Canis lupus familiaris: one gene and its partners. The protein of the gene in region 2 interacts with the protein of the main gene of each other region in a biochemical or structural test. Links are inferred from orthologs where the notes say so. Each region holds a gene or a part of one and is shown on either strand. Other genes may lie near its edges.

Region 1 (4,309 bases), on a different chromosome or scaffold from region 2:
TTTAATAACAAAAGACTAAATTAGTATAATCAAACATAAACATACCCAACAATCAAATCAATACTGGACTTTTAGAACAGTAAATTATTAAATAGGTTGATTTCTTTGTGTATAAATTCCCTAACATTAAATTATGTTAGTATTTCAAACAATACCCTTTCTAAACCAAACCTGAAATCAATCAACCTGTGTTGTTGTTGTTTTTTTCCCAGCAAAGAGAAAGGGCATCTCTTTAAGACACTTTCCAAAGCAGTAAAAACACCTTAGTGTTTCAACCTATCTACAACAAACTCTGCTGATCCTGTGCATTTCACTGAGGTGCTACCTGAACCCACAAATCATCATCAGATAAAGAACTTGAACTTCCTGACTCAGAGTCCAGCTCACTGAATCCACCTAAATCCCATTCGGTGCTAGATTCACTCGGCACGTCTTCTTCCTCAGTGAGGAAACTGTGGCCAGGTTCAAGGCAGGAAGGATAAACACGAGCTGAGAGGCAAAAGAAGTTGGAATCAAACTGGAAGAGGCCTAAGGTGGTACCTATGTTGATCCACTGGTCTCCCCTAGTGTCATATTCATACACGGTCACCCGGTTCTTCTTCCACTGTGGGGTGCGAGAGGTGATCAGCAACAGTTTTTGGCCGTGATTGATTATCCGGTAGTTGTTGGTCTCCGACACCAGGGGAATATTGTTAATCTGCCTCCATTCCCCCCTGACTGGGTTGTAGACCTTCATGACGGGGATGTCGCAGATACAGTAGATCTCATCATTGAAGACACAGGCTTCCTGAAAGTCATTGCGCTTGAGGGAAACACACTTGAGCCACATATTGTGGCTCGGATCATAGCAGAACATGCGCTTACTGTTGAGGGCATAAAGATAGTTCTGGATGACCATTAGATCAAAGGATATAAAGGAATGGGGTAGCGGAGCCACCAGTGCCCACTGGTTTCTCTGGACACTGTAGCACTCCACCTCCTTTAACTTAACACCGGTAATGGGGTCTCGCCCACCCAAAATGTAGATGTAGCCATTGAGGTAGGCCACATCCATGCCCTCCCGGCACAGCAGGCGGTCGGCCAGCTGCTGCCAACTATTCTGGGCTGGCTTGTACACCCAGAGGTCCTTCCTGGGCTGCGCGGCCAGGTAGATGTCGTGGTCTGGAGAGACGCAGACAGCTAAGGTGGTGACAGTCCTGGTGTGAGCAAGGCAGGTCAGAGGCGAGGGCACTTTGTAAATATCGCCGGTGTATGGGTCACAGCACAGAAAGGGATCTCTAGGATGTCCAAAGAAGATCACCATCTTCTTAGCACACACGCCCAGCCTCTGGGGTGGGTTTTCAGCTATGGGTACAACAGAGGAGCTGCTGCTGCTGCTGCTGCTGGTGCCGCTGCCAACCCCACTGCCCCCACTACCACCGCTGCCGCCGCTGCCGCCGCTGCCGCTGCCGCCGCCACTGCCACCGCTGCTGCTGCTGCCGCCGCCACAGCTGCCACTGCTGGTCTCTGGCTTGGGCGCCAGAGCCTTGCACAGCTTGTCACCATAGCGCATCTGCAGGGCCCCCTCGATAAGGTCCAGACAGTACTTTTTCACAATGGTGTTGGTCAGCAGCCCCTCCAGGTAATCTTTATTTTCATCAGTGAAGTGTGTCCAGCGGACACACTTGAAGACTTCCGCAGCGCTGGGTCCGCGCTCCTTGGGAGCCGCCTCCAGCCACTGCACGGCCACATGACACACGGTCTGCTCCAGCTCTATGTTCAGACTATCCAGGCGCAGGATGGACAGCAGCTGGGCGAGGGTCAGATCCGCCAGAGTCTCTTCCCGAATCGAACCCATCTGGCTGAGCTGCTTGAAATTGTGGGCTATGAAGGACTGGGCCTGGGATCGCAGCTTGCGGTGGCCGAAGGCGTCGGCGAACTTGAAGATGGCGGTGCAGTTGGCCAGGTCGAGGCGGCGGGCCAGGAAGGAGGCGCAGGCCTCCCGCACGTACTCGAGCTGCAGCATGTCGGAGGCCGCGTAGAGGCGCTCCACGTTGGCCTCGCTCAGCGACACGCGGCCCGTGTAGCAGTAGTCGACCAGCACCTCGAAGGACTCGGCGTCCACGTCGTGCATGGTCACGTTCGCCTGGTGGCTCTCGTACATGCCGCCCGTGAACATGCTCTTGAAGTAGGGACACGCGGCCGCCAGCACGTTCCGGTTGCAGGGGAAGAGGCGGCCGGTGCCGGGCCCGCTGCCGGGCGTCACCACCTCGATGGTCACGTCGCACAGCAGCCGCGCGTCGTAGAAGGACTTGAGCTGCGCCAGGAGGGCTGCGGAGTGAGCCGCGTCCTTCAGCTCCTCCGGGCCCGTGAAGAAAGCCGAGACCGTGGGCTTGTGGATCCTCTTGGGCCGCTTGCCGCCGCGGGGACTGGCCAGGCGGCGAGAACGCGGAGCCTCTTCCCGGGACTGCATGGTGGAGATGGCGGCGGGGTACGAGGGCGAGAACGGGTGCACGGACCGGGCGCGGGCTCCTCCTCGCCCTCTTCGCGCGGGCGCTAGATCGCGGCGTCTCCGGAGAGACTGCAGCACGGGTCCATTTACCTAATCCAGCCGTATGCCGCAGTGCCGCCTCCCTTTATCACGTAGCCAGCGCCTGACTCACCCGCTTCCAGTTCCGCGCCCTTTTCTCCGCCTCAGCTCGCCTTACAGAACCCGGCTGGACGGAACCGAGAGAGCCGCCACTGCCGCGCTGGCAATACCGGTAGGCGTCCAGCGGAACTACGGCTCCCAGGCTGCCTTTCGCGCCCCGAGGCATGCCGGGGCCCCTCCAGACTCCAGGGGATAGGCGGATGGCCCGGAGCCGCTGTGCACGCTGGGAGTGGTAGTTTCCATAGGCATCGCGAGATTTATCGGCCGTTCATTGTTTTCGGCCGACGGAATTAGAAATCGCTAATTTTCGGCCGTTCGCTTTTATGCTTTAGAACTTTGAGCCTGGAATCCGGGTTAGCCCTCCTGGTTTTCGTATCTGCCACCTTGTTGGGCTCCGCGCTCGGGACGGTTTTTTTTTTTTATTTTTTTTTTTTAATGTGAATAACGACGGTGTGTCCCAGCGCCGTGTGACGACGACGACGTGAATTGCGTAGGTTAAATAAGGATGCTCGGACTGCACAGTCGCGGGTTAGGCTGATAAAGACTCTCGCGGCGCCCGTGAGGTGGAGGTCGGGTGCCCTTTAGCTTCTCTTTGCTCGTTTAGGAGATCATCGAGCGCTCCCTCTTGAGATGTAGGAGCCCGTGGGGGGGAAAAAAATCGAGAGCCCTGCAGGTTTTCCTCAGAGATGCCGCCCCTTCCGCGCCCCCGCCTTTTTGTAATACATTCTTTTTTTCTTCCTTTCCCCAAAGATTAGTTTTAGGTGTATGATTTCAGTGATTCTGTGGGTTGCTCGGTGTTCATCAGGATAAGGGTCCTCTCCATCGCCTTTCGCCCATCCCCCCCCCTTCTTCCCTGGCAACCACCGTTGTGTCTTCTGGATTTAAAGTCGGGGGTGTTTTTGTTTGTTGTTGTTGTTTCTTTTCTTTTTTAGCGATTGAGTTGGGTTTGTTTTTTGGGTTTTTTTTTTTTTTGAGTTGGTTTTTAAGAGCAGTTTCCGGTGCCCCAAGATCGAGCTGGGTTTCACGGGGAGCCGCCACCCCCCGCACCCCCTGACGGTCCCCCCTCTGGCCGACACCTCGCCTCCGGGGGTGCGTGCCACCGGGTCATCGTGGGTTACAGCGGGCTGTTGAGATTGGGTTCCGCTCCTGGGTGCAGTTGCGAGGGTCCTGCAGAAGGTGTAAGGTCACGGGCCCACCATTACAGTGACCTACAGAACAGCCCCCACGGCCATAAAAATTCCCTGTGTTCCATCCCTGTATGCTTCCTTCTCCCTGCCCTCCCACCCACCCGCGCCCGCCCAGAAACCACTGATTTTCCTTGCTGTCTCGTTTTAACTTTTTCCCCAGGATGTCGTATAGTTGAAACTGGACAATGTGTAGCCTATTATTATTATTATTATTATTATTATTATTTACAATGTGTAGCCTTTTAAAAACATCTTCTTTCACTTAGCAATAGTCATTTCAGGTGGCTCCATGTCTTTCTTTTTTCCAGCTTAAAAGCTCATTTCTCTTATCACTGAATGATATTCTGTTGTATGTATAGATTTGCCGCAGTTCACTTACCCATCATCATCCACTCTAGGACATTCCGTTTGGTTTGGGTTTTTTACAGTTGTGGCTAAAACTGCTGTGAACACTCGTGTGCTGGTTTTTGCGTGGACATAAGGCTTTTTTCGG
Region 2 (3,041 bases):
GGAGCCTTACGTATGTGCCAGTTGCTGCTCTGGGAGATGGTGGCCTCACACCAACCACAATGTGGCAGACAGAATAGGTTTGGTTGGCACTCAAAACAAAACCAGGTATTGAGAGCAATGCCTCTCCACCTTCGGCATGCAGCAGAATCAGGAGGAGCTGGTTAACACCACAGACACCTACGCTGAGAATGACTCAGCTAAATGTAGGATGAAACCCAGACATCTGCATTTTTAATAACTACACCCCCGCCTTACCCCTTATAGTCTCACCCAGGCAGTGTTCCATCTTCAGCTTTGAGAAACACACAAACCAATGACAAAGCATTTATCTGTGGAGCAGAAAATCACACACGTATCACCAACACACCAGGCATGCTACCCCACCACGCTCACCTTTGAATAACAACTCGTGGTAAGTAAAGAGGTTTACTTAAACCTCTATACATCTGACATACGTGAGCATCCATTTCTAACAGCCACCCTCACTCAGTTTTCTGCTCAGAGTCCACACACCACCTATTCTACAGTACAGTCAATAAAAGCAACATTTCTGAACTCATGGTTGGTTTTCAAGGTATGCAATTATTTTATTTCCTTGGCCTGACAGCATAAACTTCATTACACAAGAATCTGCAGCTGACAAAACGGACACAGATTTCTCCCACAGGAAGGACCCTTTTCATTAGCAGAGATGAACTGAAATGTCACGTCTGAGTGCGATTCCTGCTCCCCGCCCCCACCCACATAACCCCAAAAGTGAAAATAATCAGAATCCATAGAATCCCCATTTAGTATTAAGTCATTCCCTCACACTTGTCTAACTAGCAGCTGCACTACATGGAAACCTAAGTCAGGAGGCAGCTGGCCATCACTTAGCAGATCTGTGTGCCTGGGACTGAAGAGGCGGGAACAAGGGAACAAGAATCCTGGCTGAGGCAGAGGCATAGACAAGCTGTCTTACCTCATACCTGCCCCCCTTCCATACATAGGACATCTCTGTCCCTACACATGGAGCAAAGTTTGGGAAATGCTGAAGGAGGTTTTAGCCCATAATGGGAAATGGTTGTCCTCACTGAGGTGTGGGATAAGGGGCACCAGAGAGAGAGCAGGTTAGACAGAGATGCTCAACATAGTCAATTCCAGTTTAATGCTACCAAAACGATCTTAATAGCCAAACTATCCTTCATGCCTGGCCCCTGTATTCCAGTGGTGAGAACGCTCCATCTAAATATCTGCCTAATGGCTATCCGGACCACTAGGTGGTGCTGTGGTGTCTGTAAGTGGAATTATGACAGGGATGGGGAGGTGTGGAGCTAGGTCAAGGTCACAACGCTTTAATTACAATGGGTCTCTTTTGGTCCCTAGGAATGATCTACTACTCGTGGTCCTAAGACATCCTCATCCCTTTCCCTACCTGTCTTCTGCAAATGTCAAAAATAGAATCTCTGCCCGAAGAGGAAGGAGAGCAGGAAGTTACTGGTGGTCTGCAATCATCTCTGGCCCCATCTTGCCCACCTCCTGCCTCTTCTGTGAAGTCACACAGAAATTAATTCACAGAAATGCTGTGACATTAAATCATCTTCATTCCTCTATCAAAGCCAATCCAACACCTCTGTCCTGACATGCTTTCTCCCTGGGCCGAGGAAGCAGCAAAAATTATCAATTGAGCATGTGAAAATATGATGACGGTGTGTGCGGTGTAGTGTTTCCAGATGTCTTCCCCTTCTGTCTCCTCCACGGTGGGAGCCCTCCCTCTCTTTCCCCAAGTCCCACACACACCCCTCCCCCTACCCCCGAGTCCAGGTGCTCCCATCTGCTGGGCTTCCACCACTCACTTCCCATAGACACTCTCGTCACTGTAGGCCACATACAGAAAATAGTCTTCCTCATGGTTGTCCTGAGGGAGGAAACAAGAGGAAACATCATACTCATTACCTTCAGGATTCTGAGCCTCACACAAGGTAAGCAGGTTTTGCAAGGCATCATTAGCCTCCACTGACCAAAAAATAAGAATACACAGAAGTGACTGGAATTCAACTTCTGAGTTCACAAAAAATCTTCAAGAAGAGTATCGATACGTACAAACATCAGGGATAACAACATGACCCTTTAAAAAGCTCATTCTAGCAAAAGGGAACACAGATACTATATATATACTATATATATATATATCAGAATATACACTAACAGGAAATATATGCTATGGAATAAAAATAAGATTGAGAGATTGTTAGAAAGTTTACACAATTCACTAACTCACAGGGCACAATAAGAAGGCAGTACAATGTAAAATCCTTTAAGGAAGAATATAGCCACAAAACTGGGTGACAGAGCATGACCGAGTCCTTTCCAATAGTCTTCTCATTAGATTCTGACAGCTTACCAATTAAACCAAATGAAATCAGCAAATTATTCTCTCCAACTGAGTTTATCTGTTAAGACAAATGAATCAATTTAAAGGCTTTGCCTTATAATTTTAAATTTCATTTTATTTGGAATTTGCAATCAGAAACAATTTCTTACTGTTTCAATAAAGATGATCCAAGATTAGAACCCTAGAATAAGGCAAAACTGAAAGCTCAAAGAGAATGAATCTAGTAGTCAGCTCAATCCCTAAAGGACAAGTGACATTTAATCTCTCAGAGCCTTACACTGCTGTGTGTAAGTGGATACAGGGAAGTAACACCTCCTGCCCCACTTCCCAGGTGTGTTATCAACAGACTCCAGAACAAAGGCTAGAGAACACGAGACTACACAGTATTGTCGTGACCAGAACACTTACCTCATACAGCTGGCCCATGGTAGCACTAGTGGGAGGGATGGTGTTGTTGACAAAGAAGAATAAGGCATCCTCAGGCCTCAGGTGGATCCTCTTCCGGATTAAGAAGTAGAACTGGCCAACTGGATAAAGGAAGAAGGTTTTAGAAAAGGAAGGCAATTAGGGAAGACAAGGGATTATGAGAAGGGGAAGGCCCAGAAAAGAAAAAAAAATCTGCTGCACCTGCTCCACCGCTTAAAGTGCCAGCTTTAGAGAAAATCTC
Region 3 (4,345 bases), on a different chromosome or scaffold from region 2:
TAAGTGATCTTGCCATCCAACGTGGGGCTTGAACTCATAACTCCAAGATTAAAAGTCACACACTCTACTGAGTAAGCAAGCCCACCAGGTGCCCCTCGAAAGAGTGACATTTTGATGATTATAATGTTACACTTTGTAGACATCTAATTAAATGTCTATTGATTTAGATTTTGCTCTTTTTCTTGGGAGCCCGAGCATAATCATCTTTTGCTGTTTTTCTCGGGTTTTGGAATCCAGGTATACTTGTCCTTGGCTACAGACCTTTCATAGGTCCCTGGAGAACTTGCAGAGCCAAGCACTGGGCCTGCAGAATCTCACAGACTGGCCAGGCCCAGAGTGTGGCCCTCTGAGGACGCTGCACAGCCACAGGTCCTGAGACCCCAGTGAGCGGGACAAAGTGGCAACAACCTCTCAGCACAGTCCCTCCCCTCCATTCAGCTGATTAGAATTGGCCCCAGCCTCCAAGATCCCCCAACCCCCTATGATCCCCTAGATCTCTCCCAGGCCACCAGCCCTGCCCACTCCAGGAGGCTGGTTTTCCAGGAACAACCCTGCATGGTGTCACACCCCGTTCCGTCCTGAGGGCCCTGTGCCGGGGGTTGAGAGCTGGCGCCTTAGTTCGGCTTCTGCAGCCCCTCCCCCACCATCTTTCTGGACAAGTCTTGTAATTTATGTAAAATGCTGAAGAAATGCAGCTTCGGTTCCGTCCTTTCCAACCAGATCCCCTGCCCAGGGTTATCCTGCATGGGAACTTGCTGGCTCCCGGGTCCTCCCTTGGAGCCCTTCTCAAATGGCAGGTGGACATTTGCAGTTTTCAAAGTCCCTTTAGACTGAATGTCCAGGTCCTGTGGTCAGGGGCCAGCGTTGTGCAGCCTGTGTACCCTCCCACCACCATTTCTAGGATATGTCTGCTTGGTGCCACAGGGCCTGCCCCCTCTAGCCTCGTGGAGCCCAGTGACCAGAAGGAAGTGGCCGACCCAGGAGGAAGTGGCTGCTGTTTACCCAAAAGGGGAAATTAGGGCAGTGAGCTTGCTCCCACATGGCCAGCCCTGGGCAAGCCCCAGGGACACAGAGCCAATGACTCATCCTCGGCCAGTCTCCCTCAAGAGGGATGGGGTGGGAGGCCCAGCCACGTGCAGTCTCTGCACCTCACAGACTCCAGGAGGACAAGCTGGCCAAGGTGCCATCCTGTTGCAGGAGGAGCCCACAGTCCTTGGGGGAGTCCAGAGAGAGGAGACCTCACTGCCTGATATGCTGCCTGATAGCCGTGTCTGTGCCCTCTCTGGGCTGCAGGGGATGGGCAGCAGTTGATCTCCAATGGTCTGCCTGCCTGCCTGCAGCCCAGCTGTAAGGCCTGTGGGCCTTCTCCAGCTGGGCCAGTGAGGCTCTTCTGTTTCCAGCCTCTTGAGGTTTTCAGCCATCACAGCTGACCAGTCCCTTCCCTTTGGGCACTCTTCCATCCTGCCCTCCGCAGTTAGTGTAAGCATTACCACTGGGGGGCACAGGGTGTGTCTTCCCTGCCACCCCACCAGAGAAGGGGCCCTAGCTGCAGCCCCGTGGCCAGATGGCACAGAGGGAGCCCTCCTGTCTCTGAGCAGAGACTGCCCCATTATCTGGAGGTCAAGCACACAGGGATCCTGATGGGGCCTTGCTAACCCCGGAGCTTGGTGGAGGAAGTTGGTCTGGATGGGGGTGGTTTGGAGTTCAGGGTGTGGTGCTAGAGGGGGAACCGGGGAGCTGGGCTGGCTTCAGAACAGAGGCTGCATTGGCCAGGGAATAGCCCCCAGAGGGAGGCCCCACCACCACCTCCCTACCACGTGCTCCCATACCATCCTGCCCTGATGGGGTCATGGGAGGGAGCCCGAGTAAGGGGGGTGAGAGGGACTGTCACCACCCCTGCCTCTACCTCCATTGGGTGCTGTGCTGAGTCTCAGAAGGGCCTGGGCAGGCGGGATGGTGGCTTCAGAGAGAGAAGCCCCACCGCACCCCTCTGGCCTGGATTTGCAGACTCTGGCTTCCCGAAGGCCTCATTTCCCTGCCAAATGTGCAGGCAAATCTCACAGCCTATGGCTCCCCTTCCTGGGGGGGTGGGGTCACCTGAAGTGCTGGCCACTCTCTAAGCCCTGGGGCCCAGGGCACTGATGGAGGGCAGAGGGTTGGCAGGGGCTGGGGGCCAGCAGGTGAGGACTACACAGGAGTTGGGGGGACATACAGGCTGGGGAGCGGGGGAGGCCTGGACACAGGGCGGGCTGCAGGTACAGAGGCCTGGTCCTTTCTGTCCCAGTCCTGGTTCTCGGCCTGGCACCACAGCCAGGACAGCAGCCCGCCTGTCTTGGCTCCTCCCCAAGCCCCCTGCCCTCAGAATCCACCCCCCCCTCCAAGGCCTCCAGGCACTGCAACTCCCCTGTGAGGCCCTTTTGGGGGATGGAGGCATTTCAATGGAGGGAAGGTGCGGGCAGACGCAAACCACACAGCGGGAAGGCCCTGGTTAGGAGGGAGACCCCCGAAGGCAGGCAGGATACGAGGGCCCAGCAAGAGCCCCTTTGGAGTCTGTTGGAGTTTCTTTTGTATTTTGAAGTTTAAATATACGGCTAAATAGCTACTAATATTGATCCATTGCATTTTGAAGGTAGGTACAGAATTTGCAGGGAAAGGTGCTCCCGGCTGGGGGATGGTGAGGGCGAAGCAACAGCAGGTGGGCAGATGCCCCACACATATGGAGAGGCCCTGCCGCTGACTCCATCTTTGGCTGAGGCAGGCCAGGCTGTCTCTGGTCCTGAGTCTGTTTCCTGTCTTGGCAGTGAGGACAGACAGAGTCATACCACCTTGCCTGCCGGGACAGAGGACAAAGGAAACAGCGTGTACTGGAAGTGCTTGGTGCACATTAGGGGTGCCATATTCCCGCTGCAGGGGACAGTGAAAGTCAGGGCCCCCTGTGCAGGTGGCCAGGTGTGCCAGGCCCACCCGGCCATCAGTCTCCAATAGAACAAGGTTTTTAACACCCGGTCTCTGACCCCTGGTCTTCCCCCTGGGCCTTAATGTACCTCTCCCTGGTTGTCCCTCCTTCAGGCCTCATGAACACATGGCCTACAATTCTGCAGATTTTCATTTTTAAATGGGACTCAGAACGACTGGTGAGGCCAGATAATCTATGGAGAACACTTGTTCCTGACGCTAAAACTGAGAGGTAGTTCACAGGGAAGCCCGCTGGCCTGAGGGATGGTTTCCCTTTCCTCTGGGCAGGTGGGGAGCCCACAGCCCCAGGCGGGGTGCTCTATGGAGCAAGTGGGGCTGCTGTGGTTTTAGGACCATGGTGGGTCCAAGGCTCTCTTTGGGGTCCCATTTCACTTCATATCAAATATATATAATTTTAAAATGACAGTCACAAAAAAAAATAAATAAAATAAAATAAAATAATAAAATAAAATAAAATAAAATAAAATAAAATAAAATAAAATAAAATAAAATAAAATAAAATAAAATAAAATAAAATGACAGTCACATCTTACGTTATAAACTGTGTGCCTGTGTGTGTGTATATATATATAACTTTTTTCCTTTGAACTTTTGGGAAAATATTATTTTTATGATTGGGCTTTGAGAGTTCAATTGGTGACTGGTAATGATTTCTCAGCAGTTCTCCTGCACACTCAGAGGTCCTGGCGAGGGCAGACCATCTGACCTCCAAACCATTTTCAGATGCGATGAATCTTTTGTGAATTCTCCATCAAATTGATGCAATATTCCATTTATAGACATTTGCTTGCACACTTATTGTGATTTTATAGTTTCCTATTTTGGATTCTGGAGTCAACGCTGGTGCAGGCTGGGGCTGTTTCCTTATTTGAGTTTCCAGGACTGTGTCAAGGCCCTGGGACCTGGCCATTGTCTTGCTCCTGTGTGCAGTGGGTGCAGGGCCTGAGGACATCTCTGGGGGCCACCATCCACCCCAGAAGGCATGCAGAAACAAACTTGCTCAGAGGCGCTGAGGGGCCAGATTAAGGTCAAGAAACTGGTGACCTCTCCCGCCCAGCAGCAGTCCCTCCCCTGCGGGAGGGCCCCATATGACAGCGCTTGAGAACACAGTCCATTCATCAGCCCAGTCCTTTCATGTTTACTGATCACAAATACATGCAACCCCAAAAGGAGGCAATTTGGCAACATCTGTTGAAACCACAAAGGCAGGCGTCCTCTGACTGGAGCGGCCCCACTGGGGGATGTGTGCTGTGGGTGTTCTCACTTTTGTGCTCTGTTGAGTGCTCCTGAAGCTGTCCCCTGCCACATTGTTGGACATTGGGGAACCTTAGAAATGACCCAAGTGACCCCCTATAGGGGACTGGTCACA
Region 4 (4,132 bases), on a different chromosome or scaffold from region 2:
AAACTGCTTTGGTTAAGATACATTAGAGTTAAATGACTAATAAACAAAATTACCAAAATAACAAATTAATAAGGTAACTAGGAGTATTTGGGAAATGCCTAGCAATTGAAACCAAATTCAAAAAATATAAAATTAGAATTCAATACTGTTGAAAGACTAAGTTACATTTTAGAAGGCAATCTTAACTGGTAGCTAAAGGAAAACTGGGTGGAAACAAAATTCCTGTGGTTAAGGGTATATACAAATGCAAATGCCAGTTATTTTTCCTGTGCTTTAAAACAGCAGCATAATAGTTTTTATCAATGTTCTACTAAATACGCATATTTTAGAGAAACATTTTCTCTGTGTTCATTTGTGAAAAGATTTTCACATTTTTATGTAGGCTTTTTATTGTTTAGTATTTTAAATAAGTATTCTATATTTTACCTATTTCACATTGATTAAGGAGGGGAGAATGCTAAATGAACATTTTTGAAAGTAGGAATAAAATATGGAGTTAGACATTAAAATGCTATATTACTTGAAGAAAAAAATATACCAAGGTAAAAATATTATGAAATAAATTATTATTTAAAGCTTGTTTTCATGCTACAGAAATGTTTCATGGTTTAAATCATTTTAGAGAGTTTTTTTTTTAATGCATATTTTTGACACTAGTAAAATAACAGAGAGTGAAAAACTATTGAAGTTTCCTCAGATTTACAAATACAAAGATTATGACTATAAAACACTTGCTAAGTTCTAATATATTTTAACCAAATAGTTCATAAAGCTTTTCTAGTATAAATTAACAATTACCAAGACCAAAGGAAACTTACCTTACAAGAATGCTTTAAAGAATTAGATAGTTCATTTGTGAAATCTCTGTTACTGTCTCTTGATAAGTTATCAACTTTATCTTCATTTCCAGGTGCAAATTTTATGAGTAATTGTGATGGTCCCCCCTTAGAACAATTGTGCTTGAGGCTGGATAAACAGGAAACATTTGGGTAAGTTCCTCCCAATGAAACACTTCTCTGTAAAATAGCATGGTTTTTGTTTATCTGTAAATTTGGTCTTTCCAACTGTCCATTGATATTTATTTGGTAATCTAGGTGTTGAGAGGATGGTAAACATGCAGATGTCCTCTGCATAAGCTTAATGCACTCTGAATGAGAATTAAGCTTGATTTCTGACATCTCTGGTTTGCAATCACCACTTGCTGTTTCACAATCTAATGTAGTTGCTTTTTGTTGGGTGAAATGCACTGAAACACAAGAAAACCCTTCAGACGACTTTTCACGGACATTCTGATTCAGACTATCATTCGCAATAACAATTTTCTTTTGTAATGAACCCTTCCTGTGAAGTGGTCGTATGTCTCTCACTTCTCCGGGAGTACAGATTGTTTTAGATAACCGAAGTCCATTGACAGCTGTTGAAAGAAATCCCTTAGTGCTACTACCATCTTCACTGTGGGCAATTTCACTAGGAGAAATAATAAATTGGTGTGAGGTTTGATAGGATCCTTTGCTTGGAAGAACGTCTGTACTTGTTGGAGAAGTCGGTGGGGTATTTAAAGGACTCCTAGGAAAAATGACTAAGGATGAACAACGTTTTAGTGGAATTTTCGAGTTCCTGGTCACTGGCAATTTCATAATTTCTAGTCCATGCTCCAAGTCATCCTGGACAAAAGGAACGGTACTTGGACTTCTTGAAAAAATGTCACATGGAGTAGTATTCCTGTTTGGCACACTTCTATTGGAGGTGCTGTCAGAAGATAAATTTCCACCAAAAAAAGTATCATCAGTTGGTGGAAAAGTATAACCACTGCTGTCACTGATGATACTGTTTGTGTAGGAACCACCACTTGTGATACTTGTGCATGATCCATAATCACTACCATTGCTGCTGTAAGACCCATTCTCACTGGTGGAAAAGTTACTGAGGCTCCCACTGTGAATGGCCGAACTGCTTACAAGGTTACCATCATTCACAGCATTCAGCTCATTCTCAGCCACAGCATTGTTGTAAATGCCATCCTTAAAGACAGATGTAAATGAAGCATCATCACCATCAGCTAAGACATTGCCAGACTGAAGACATCCACTGTACCTTGTTGGTTGTAGTGAAATCTGCAGACAGCTGCTCTTTTTATTAACATTTTCAGGTGAAGGAACAGATGATCTTTCCTGAGAGTTAACGTTTTCCTGTATCAACGGAGCTAGTGCAGTCTGTCTAGGAGTCAGCTTCATTTGAACAACGTTAGACGTTGAAATCCGTGTTGGTCTTTTGAAGCACATGTGAACATTGCTATCCAAATCATCTCCGGAGGTTTCTGACAAAGGATAAGTATTGCTTCTTCTGGCTGCAAAGTGCAATCGTAAGCTTTGTGCCATTTGTTCTCATTTCCAAACATGTTAAGGGCTGAAAGTCATAACAAAGATCTCTGTCGGTAGACAGGCTAGAAGCAGCTGCACTGCATCGAAGGAAAAAATCATTTGTGGTGCCTAAAAGAGCTCTTAAGCAGTAGTCTTTATCCTAAGTAAAACCTTAGATACCAGATATCATAGAAAGAAAAAGACGACCCATTCCTGAGACTGACGTTTCCAAATATTTTGAATCGCTTGTAGTCAAAATGCCTTCACTTACAAAGCACTTGATTTCCAGCGCCCTTTAAGCTGAGCTCAGCTGCAGCGCACTGCCTCAAACACTGCCAACCTTGTTTCAATTATACCTTCTCCAATTTGCATGAATGAGTAACACAAGAACAACAATCTTCTAGCATTTCAAGTTGAAACAGTATTTTTTCACTCCTGCTCTACTAAATGAACATTTAACTATGTGAATCACGGCGTCTATACTTTCTCCAGCAGAGTTTGACCACTAATATTTTTACCCATAGGGATAAAATTACAGGAAGTTGGTAGGAATGAAACCCCATGTAATTGAGTATCAAATCAAGGATTGAATTTCCAAACAGTAGACAAACTAGGAATCTTGTCAAGTTAGTTAATGTAGAAAGGCATATATTCTGTTAATTTTTTTTTTAATGAGTGAATTCAAACAGTTGTATAAATTTGGAAGTACCAAAACTCTGGGGTGAATTAAAACTCAAGCATTAAATCAAATAGATAAATATTTTAGCTTCCAAAACACTACTTATAAAAAGTGAAAGCTTAAGGATAGAAACACAAAATTAGCCTAGTAATACTATTGAAAAATTGAGCATAGGTCTGAGAAAGAAAAATTTAAGAGAAGCTGTCACCAAGCATTTTCTTCTGTAATTTTAAGGCCTTTTCCAGCCAAGTAGTACAGTCTTTAAATGATGCCATTTATATTTTGACTATTAAAACTCTGCCAAGAAATAGCCTAAGCAAACATTCCATTAAAAATATATGCAGATTAGACAGAAAAACTATACCCCAATATAGTTTGAGCACACAAGATATTTTATTCCACTGTCTCTGCAATTCATTCACTTAAGAGAGTGTTGTGGTAAGTAAAGAAGTCTAAAAAGGATTTAACACATCAAATAAACATATCTCAATGCCAAATCTGTTCTGAAAACTCTAAGAGCTCTTTGCTGGCCCCTACTGGTGTGCTGAAACAATCCATTTAGCTGTTTGATACCTATAAAGAAATACAAACCATGCTGCATATTTCTTTGTATAAACAAAGTACATACTTGTTTACATTTTTGAGTACTAGCCTTGCCCTAGAGGTGGAATTACTTACTACTGCTGATAAAGCTCCCACAGTAGAGAACAGTAGACTATTTGTCCTCCTAGAGGTTGTGATTTTGTATATATATTTTTTCTGCTTTGTATTTATTTAACCTTTACTTTATTTTCAGTTTACTAGGTAATAAAAGTTTAATATTTTAATTTCTCCCTTAAATGTCATAGACCAAGCTTGGTATTCTATTTGAAAGAAACAAATTTATTTTTAAATAATACTCTAGGGTATATTTAAACCCCTTACCTGAATTTTATAGCTGGAACTCCAGTAATAAATATATACTGGCTCATTCATAGGAAAGTAAAAAGTAAAATAGTTCAGTTGTTTACACCACATGGTACTACACCCAAGTTGTATTTTTCTAAGTAAGATTTTTTCTAAGTAAAAGTAAATATGTAAAACATATACTTGT
Region 5 (4,224 bases), on a different chromosome or scaffold from region 2:
GCAGCAAAAGGGGAGTAGAAGGAGATAAGGCAGTGAGAACCAGGTCCTAGTGCCTGCCTCTACTCCAAACACAGCCTTCCTGCTAAAAAATTTTTTAAACCACTGCCCTAAAGTACCTAGTTGGAAGGCATTGCTGTAAATCAAGTATGACGGTCATAAAACCCAGGTATGGAGTAGTAGTATCAAAAATGAAAAACAGAAAAGAAAATGAATCTAGACTTCTTGATGGAGAATTCAATAGGACTTAGTGACAAACTAGAAAGAATAATGAAAGAATGGATCTGCATAAAAATATCAAATATTCCAACTGAACACACCTGCTGGTCATACAGACTTGAACATCAGCAACATAAATGTGACCATGTAAAAATGTCTGAGCCCTAAGGAAGTGCTCCTATGCAAGGCAGAAAAGCAAAGCAACATTCTTACAGGGATTAGGAAAAGAACAAGCAGAGGGCCCACAGGATCGTACAAAGACATGGCCACCACACCATGGAAGGCTAAAAGAAGTGTTTTTAAAAAGAGGTATCACTGTACACAATGAGAGGGTTCACAGCCTTTGCAGCCAATCAGATTCAGGGTTCTGGCAACTCCTCCACTTGACCAAATTATTTAACCTCTCTGAGTTTCATTTAATAAGGAAAAAATAAACCAACATTTAGCGTCGTTCAACACATTATGGAGCACTGTGCTAAGTGCTTTTACACATGACCTATTCTAATCCCCGTAACACACTTTACAGATGAAGAAATTAAATTTAGAACTAGCGTAATAAGCTGCAGAGCCATGATTCCTCTTTCTTATGACAATAAAATAAAGGAATGCATATACAAATTTCCTGGGGGAAAAAATGACCTCAAAAATGGCATATTTTATTATTAGAAGGTAATAATCAATAGGGAGGACACAAAAACTCACTTTCAGTAATCCCTGTCATAGCCTTCCATGGAGCAAACTCTTTGTGTCCTCAGCTACAAAACAGGATTACTTCCTGTAATCAAACTTACGTAATAGGGTTGCTATGATGATATTATGAAAATGAAAATGCTATGAAAAAAATTTAAGTGACATTCAAATATATGGGCTTAATGTCACATAGCTTGCTTTCCAGAAATGCCTTCCTGGAACAACGAAGTCTGTCTGAAGAGAACTAAAAATGAGCCTGTTGGAGTGCAAGCATCACTTTGTAAAGTATAAATGACCATGAAATGGTTATATATACCACCCACATCTCCCCCTGGCCCTTCTAGGTTTTCTAGAGCCCCTGCAAGGCCAGAGGATCTCTTATACCTATAAAGAAACCGATAATTTACAGCCAATGAATGAATAGAGCTTCTACTTCAATTTGGAGTTGTTCAACTTGACCTTTGGGCATCATCTCAGAGGTGGCCCCCTTACAGTCCTTCCAAAACAGAGAAGAAAAAAAGTTTCCAATTTTCTTCTAAGATACTAAAACTGGGTGCCCAATCAATACGAGAATTCAATACAAAATACCAGACAAAAATCAAGGGCTCTGATAACAAGTCTCTTTTGGACGCCCTTCCACACACCCACCTTTTTTCACCTGAACAGATGGTTTCCAGGCCTCAAGGCTCACATGTCTAGTCACACGATTCACAACAGCTCACAAAGTTCCTACCTTTTTAATTATTCCATGTTCCTGAATATATCACCTTTCGTCTAAAGATCTCTAAGTATCAGAACACAGGAACTCCTTAATCTTCACAACAGCACTCTCTGGGAGAAAGATTAGTACTCTTATTTTATAAATTACAAATGAAAGACTGAGATTACATGTTTTAAACAACACCAGTTAAATGACGTTGATTCATTCTTGGGGGGAAAAAAGATGCACATTATGAATTTATATCTCTGGGCAGCCTTGATTTAGCTTGATCATTTCAAATACTACTTTTAAAAGTATCTACTGTGTACTCTCACTCTTCCAATATATCAAAGATCAAACTAACAGTAAATACCAAAGCATCACTACTTCTATATGCTAGAAAACAAAACAAAGCACTATGCGGGGAAGGGGTTCTAATTTAGGATTCCTACTGTCTCGCATCCATAAATACTTTTGAACTTGAGGGCGGTGAGGAAGGAACACCTGTCAGTGCGGTACACCCTCAAGGTCCACACACTACGTAGCTGTTCCTACGGAATTCCTTCGACGGGAAACAAATAATCCGCCTTCTCAAATAAATGGCAGTATCACGAGAAACACTGGACAAAAGCGCCGAGAAGGCTGCGAGCAGCCTAATGCATGCCCCGTTTCGCGTCCCGGGCTCCGAGACTCGCCGGGAGGAAGAGGCCCAGGAGCGCGGCGGGGAGGCCGGCGCTCCCCAGCCGCTCCCCAGCCGCTCCCCAGCGACTCCCCAGCGACTCCCCACGCCGCCAGGCCCGGCCGCCGCGGCAGACGCCAGGCTCGGCCTCCCCGCGGCGCCCCGGGCCTGGGGGCAGCCGCGGCCCGGCCCCGCCTCGCGACGGCCGACGCGCCCGGCCCGGGCCCCGCCGCCGCGGAGGGGTCGCCGCCAGCTCGGGCCTAGCCGCCCCCGCCCGCGGCCGCCGGCCCCCCCGCCCTCCCTCCGCTCCCGGCTCCCGGCTCCCGGCTCCCGGCTCCCGGCTCCCCGCGAGCGTTACCTCTTGGGCGCTGGCGGCTGCTCCATGGCGGCCGGCGACAGAGGAACGGCCCCGGTGGGCGCTGAAGGACGCAGGGAGGACAGGAGCCGGGCACCGGCCGGCCGAGCCCCCGAGTCCCCGGGGAAAACCTCCAGGAACTCGGACCAACTTTCCCGTAAGTCCGCGGCGGATCCTCCTCCCGCTCGCGAGCGCCGCGGCCTCCGCGCCCCGCCCCTCCCCGCCCCGCCGAGCCCCGCCCAGCCCCGCCCCTCCGCCGAGCCCCGCCCCTCCGCCGCCCGGGGAGAGTGGGCGGAGCCAGCGGCGGCCCAGGCTGGTGGGCGGAGCCGGGCCCTGATGGGGCGGGGGCGGGGGCGGGGGCGGGGGCGGGGCCGAGGCGGAGGCGGAGGCCGAGGCCGAGGCGGAGGCGGAGTCAAGCGCCGGCCCCCGAGCTGCGAGCGGAAAAAGGGCGCGGAGACCCGCGGACCAAGGCCTAGTTAGGACCCGGGGCCTGTCTGTGCTGGCCGGGGGCGGGGGATGCACCTTCCCTGGAGCCGCTGAGAGCTGCCGCTCCGCATCTGCCTCCGAAAATTGGCTTTTGCCCCAATCCTATTTGACTCATTTCTTCTCTGGATTTCCCAAAGACACATCCCAAGCATCTTGTGCAGCCTTTTGAAGTGTCACTAACTGCCCACGCTTCTGTCTCTAGTTGTTTATAATTATGGGCTGTGTTTTACGCCCGCCCGGTTTGACGTTTGTAGCTACAGCACGAGGGATACTACTGGAAATTCTTGTTTGATGTTGATTGTGGACAAACTCCTCACTACATTTCGCTATAATTACGTCTGATTACAAAGAAAATTAGGACTGCGGTGAGATCCCAGTGCACAGATTTCATGCACTGTGGTCTTGCCAGCTGTTCGCTTGGATCACCTGGAAAACCTAAAACAAATTATGGTGCACAGAAAAGAAGTCAAGAAAAGTTTCTCTTCCTTCTTGTCACCTGTCTCCCCCAACCTTTTCCGAAGGCCCTGACCTCATTGTGATTTGATCCCTTCCTGCATCTATCTTTTTAGGATACCATTTAACATGAAGTTCCGTATATAAATATCTTTCTTATGATCATCTAAGGTGCTATGTAATGAGTTTGCTTTCATTAGAAATTATCCAGGTGTAGAGTCATAGAGGTTTCTTGAAGGTTAGAGCAAAGTCTATGAAGAGAATGTTAAATAAAGGAACTTTGTGAATATTAATCCAAATTAGACTTGTCTAATAGTCGTTTTCCTCTTTTTTGCATTGTTTCCATATGTAATAAACTTACATGATTTATTTTTCAAAGCACTATATTCCCCATTAAATTTAGTTATGTTAAATTTAAGACCATTCGTTGTTGAACCCTGAAGTCAGGTTCTGCAAAAAAGAGATTGTTATAAAATTTTATACTCCTTTTCATTTACTAAACATCGACGGACTTATAGTTCAGAACTAACAAGACAGCAAAAAGCTAAATTATTAAAACACAAAAACTAGGAAAAACTTTTGAAATTATGTCATTCTATCCCTCACTTCTCATCCTCACTTCCATGCCCTAGTCCCATCTTCTTC

Evidence for each region.
Region 1: the proteins of GABARAPL1 (region 2) and KBTBD6 form a complex in vitro, tested with the Homo sapiens proteins (2 studies listed by BioGRID and IntAct, with this or other methods). The link is inferred for Canis lupus familiaris from reciprocal best matches to the Homo sapiens genes GABARAPL1 and KBTBD6.
Region 3: the proteins of GABARAPL1 (region 2) and TBC1D2B form a complex in vitro, tested with the Homo sapiens proteins (2 studies listed by BioGRID and IntAct). The link is inferred for Canis lupus familiaris from reciprocal best matches to the Homo sapiens genes GABARAPL1 and TBC1D2B.
Region 4: the proteins of GABARAPL1 (region 2) and NEDD4 form a complex in vitro, tested with the Homo sapiens proteins (2 studies listed by BioGRID and IntAct). The link is inferred for Canis lupus familiaris from reciprocal best matches to the Homo sapiens genes GABARAPL1 and NEDD4.
Region 5: the proteins of GABARAPL1 (region 2) and STK3 form a complex in vitro, tested with the Homo sapiens proteins (2 studies listed by BioGRID and IntAct). The link is inferred for Canis lupus familiaris from reciprocal best matches to the Homo sapiens genes GABARAPL1 and STK3.

What each region holds. Positions count from the first base shown.
Region 1 is NC_049243.1:9,450,674-9,454,982, reverse strand, and holds the start of KBTBD6 (kelch repeat and BTB domain-containing protein 6), read right to left. Parts: upstream 2,838-4,309; 5' UTR 2,453-2,837; coding exon 311-2,452; 3' UTR 1-310. UniProt on the Homo sapiens protein: As part of the CUL3(KBTBD6/7) E3 ubiquitin ligase complex functions as a substrate adapter for the RAC1 guanine exchange factor (GEF) TIAM1, mediating its 'Lys-48' ubiquitination and proteasomal degradation.
Region 2 is NC_049248.1:10,359,418-10,362,458, reverse strand, and holds the end of GABARAPL1 (gamma-aminobutyric acid receptor-associated protein-like 1), read right to left. Parts: intron 2,902-3,041; coding exon 2,783-2,901; intron 1,898-2,782; coding exon 1,832-1,897; 3' UTR 563-1,831; downstream 1-562. UniProt on the Homo sapiens protein: Ubiquitin-like modifier that increases cell-surface expression of kappa-type opioid receptor through facilitating anterograde intracellular trafficking of the receptor. Involved in formation of autophagosomal vacuoles.
Region 3 is NC_049224.1:58,780,979-58,785,323, forward strand, and holds the start of TBC1D2B (TBC1 domain family member 2B), read right to left. Parts: upstream 2,898-4,345; coding exon 2,831-2,897; intron 1-2,830. UniProt on the Homo sapiens protein: GTPase-activating protein that plays a role in the early steps of endocytosis.
Region 4 is NC_049251.1:21,503,073-21,507,204, forward strand, and holds the start of NEDD4 (E3 ubiquitin-protein ligase NEDD4), read right to left. Parts: upstream 2,816-4,132; 5' UTR 2,379-2,815; coding exon 819-2,378; intron 1-818. UniProt on the Homo sapiens protein: E3 ubiquitin-protein ligase which accepts ubiquitin from an E2 ubiquitin-conjugating enzyme in the form of a thioester and then directly transfers the ubiquitin to targeted substrates. Specifically ubiquitinates 'Lys-63' in target proteins.
Region 5 is NC_049234.1:1,024,986-1,029,209, forward strand, and holds the start of STK3 (serine/threonine-protein kinase 3), read right to left. Parts: upstream 2,860-4,224; 5' UTR 2,670-2,859; coding exon 2,644-2,669; intron 1-2,643. UniProt on the Homo sapiens protein: Stress-activated, pro-apoptotic kinase which, following caspase-cleavage, enters the nucleus and induces chromatin condensation followed by internucleosomal DNA fragmentation.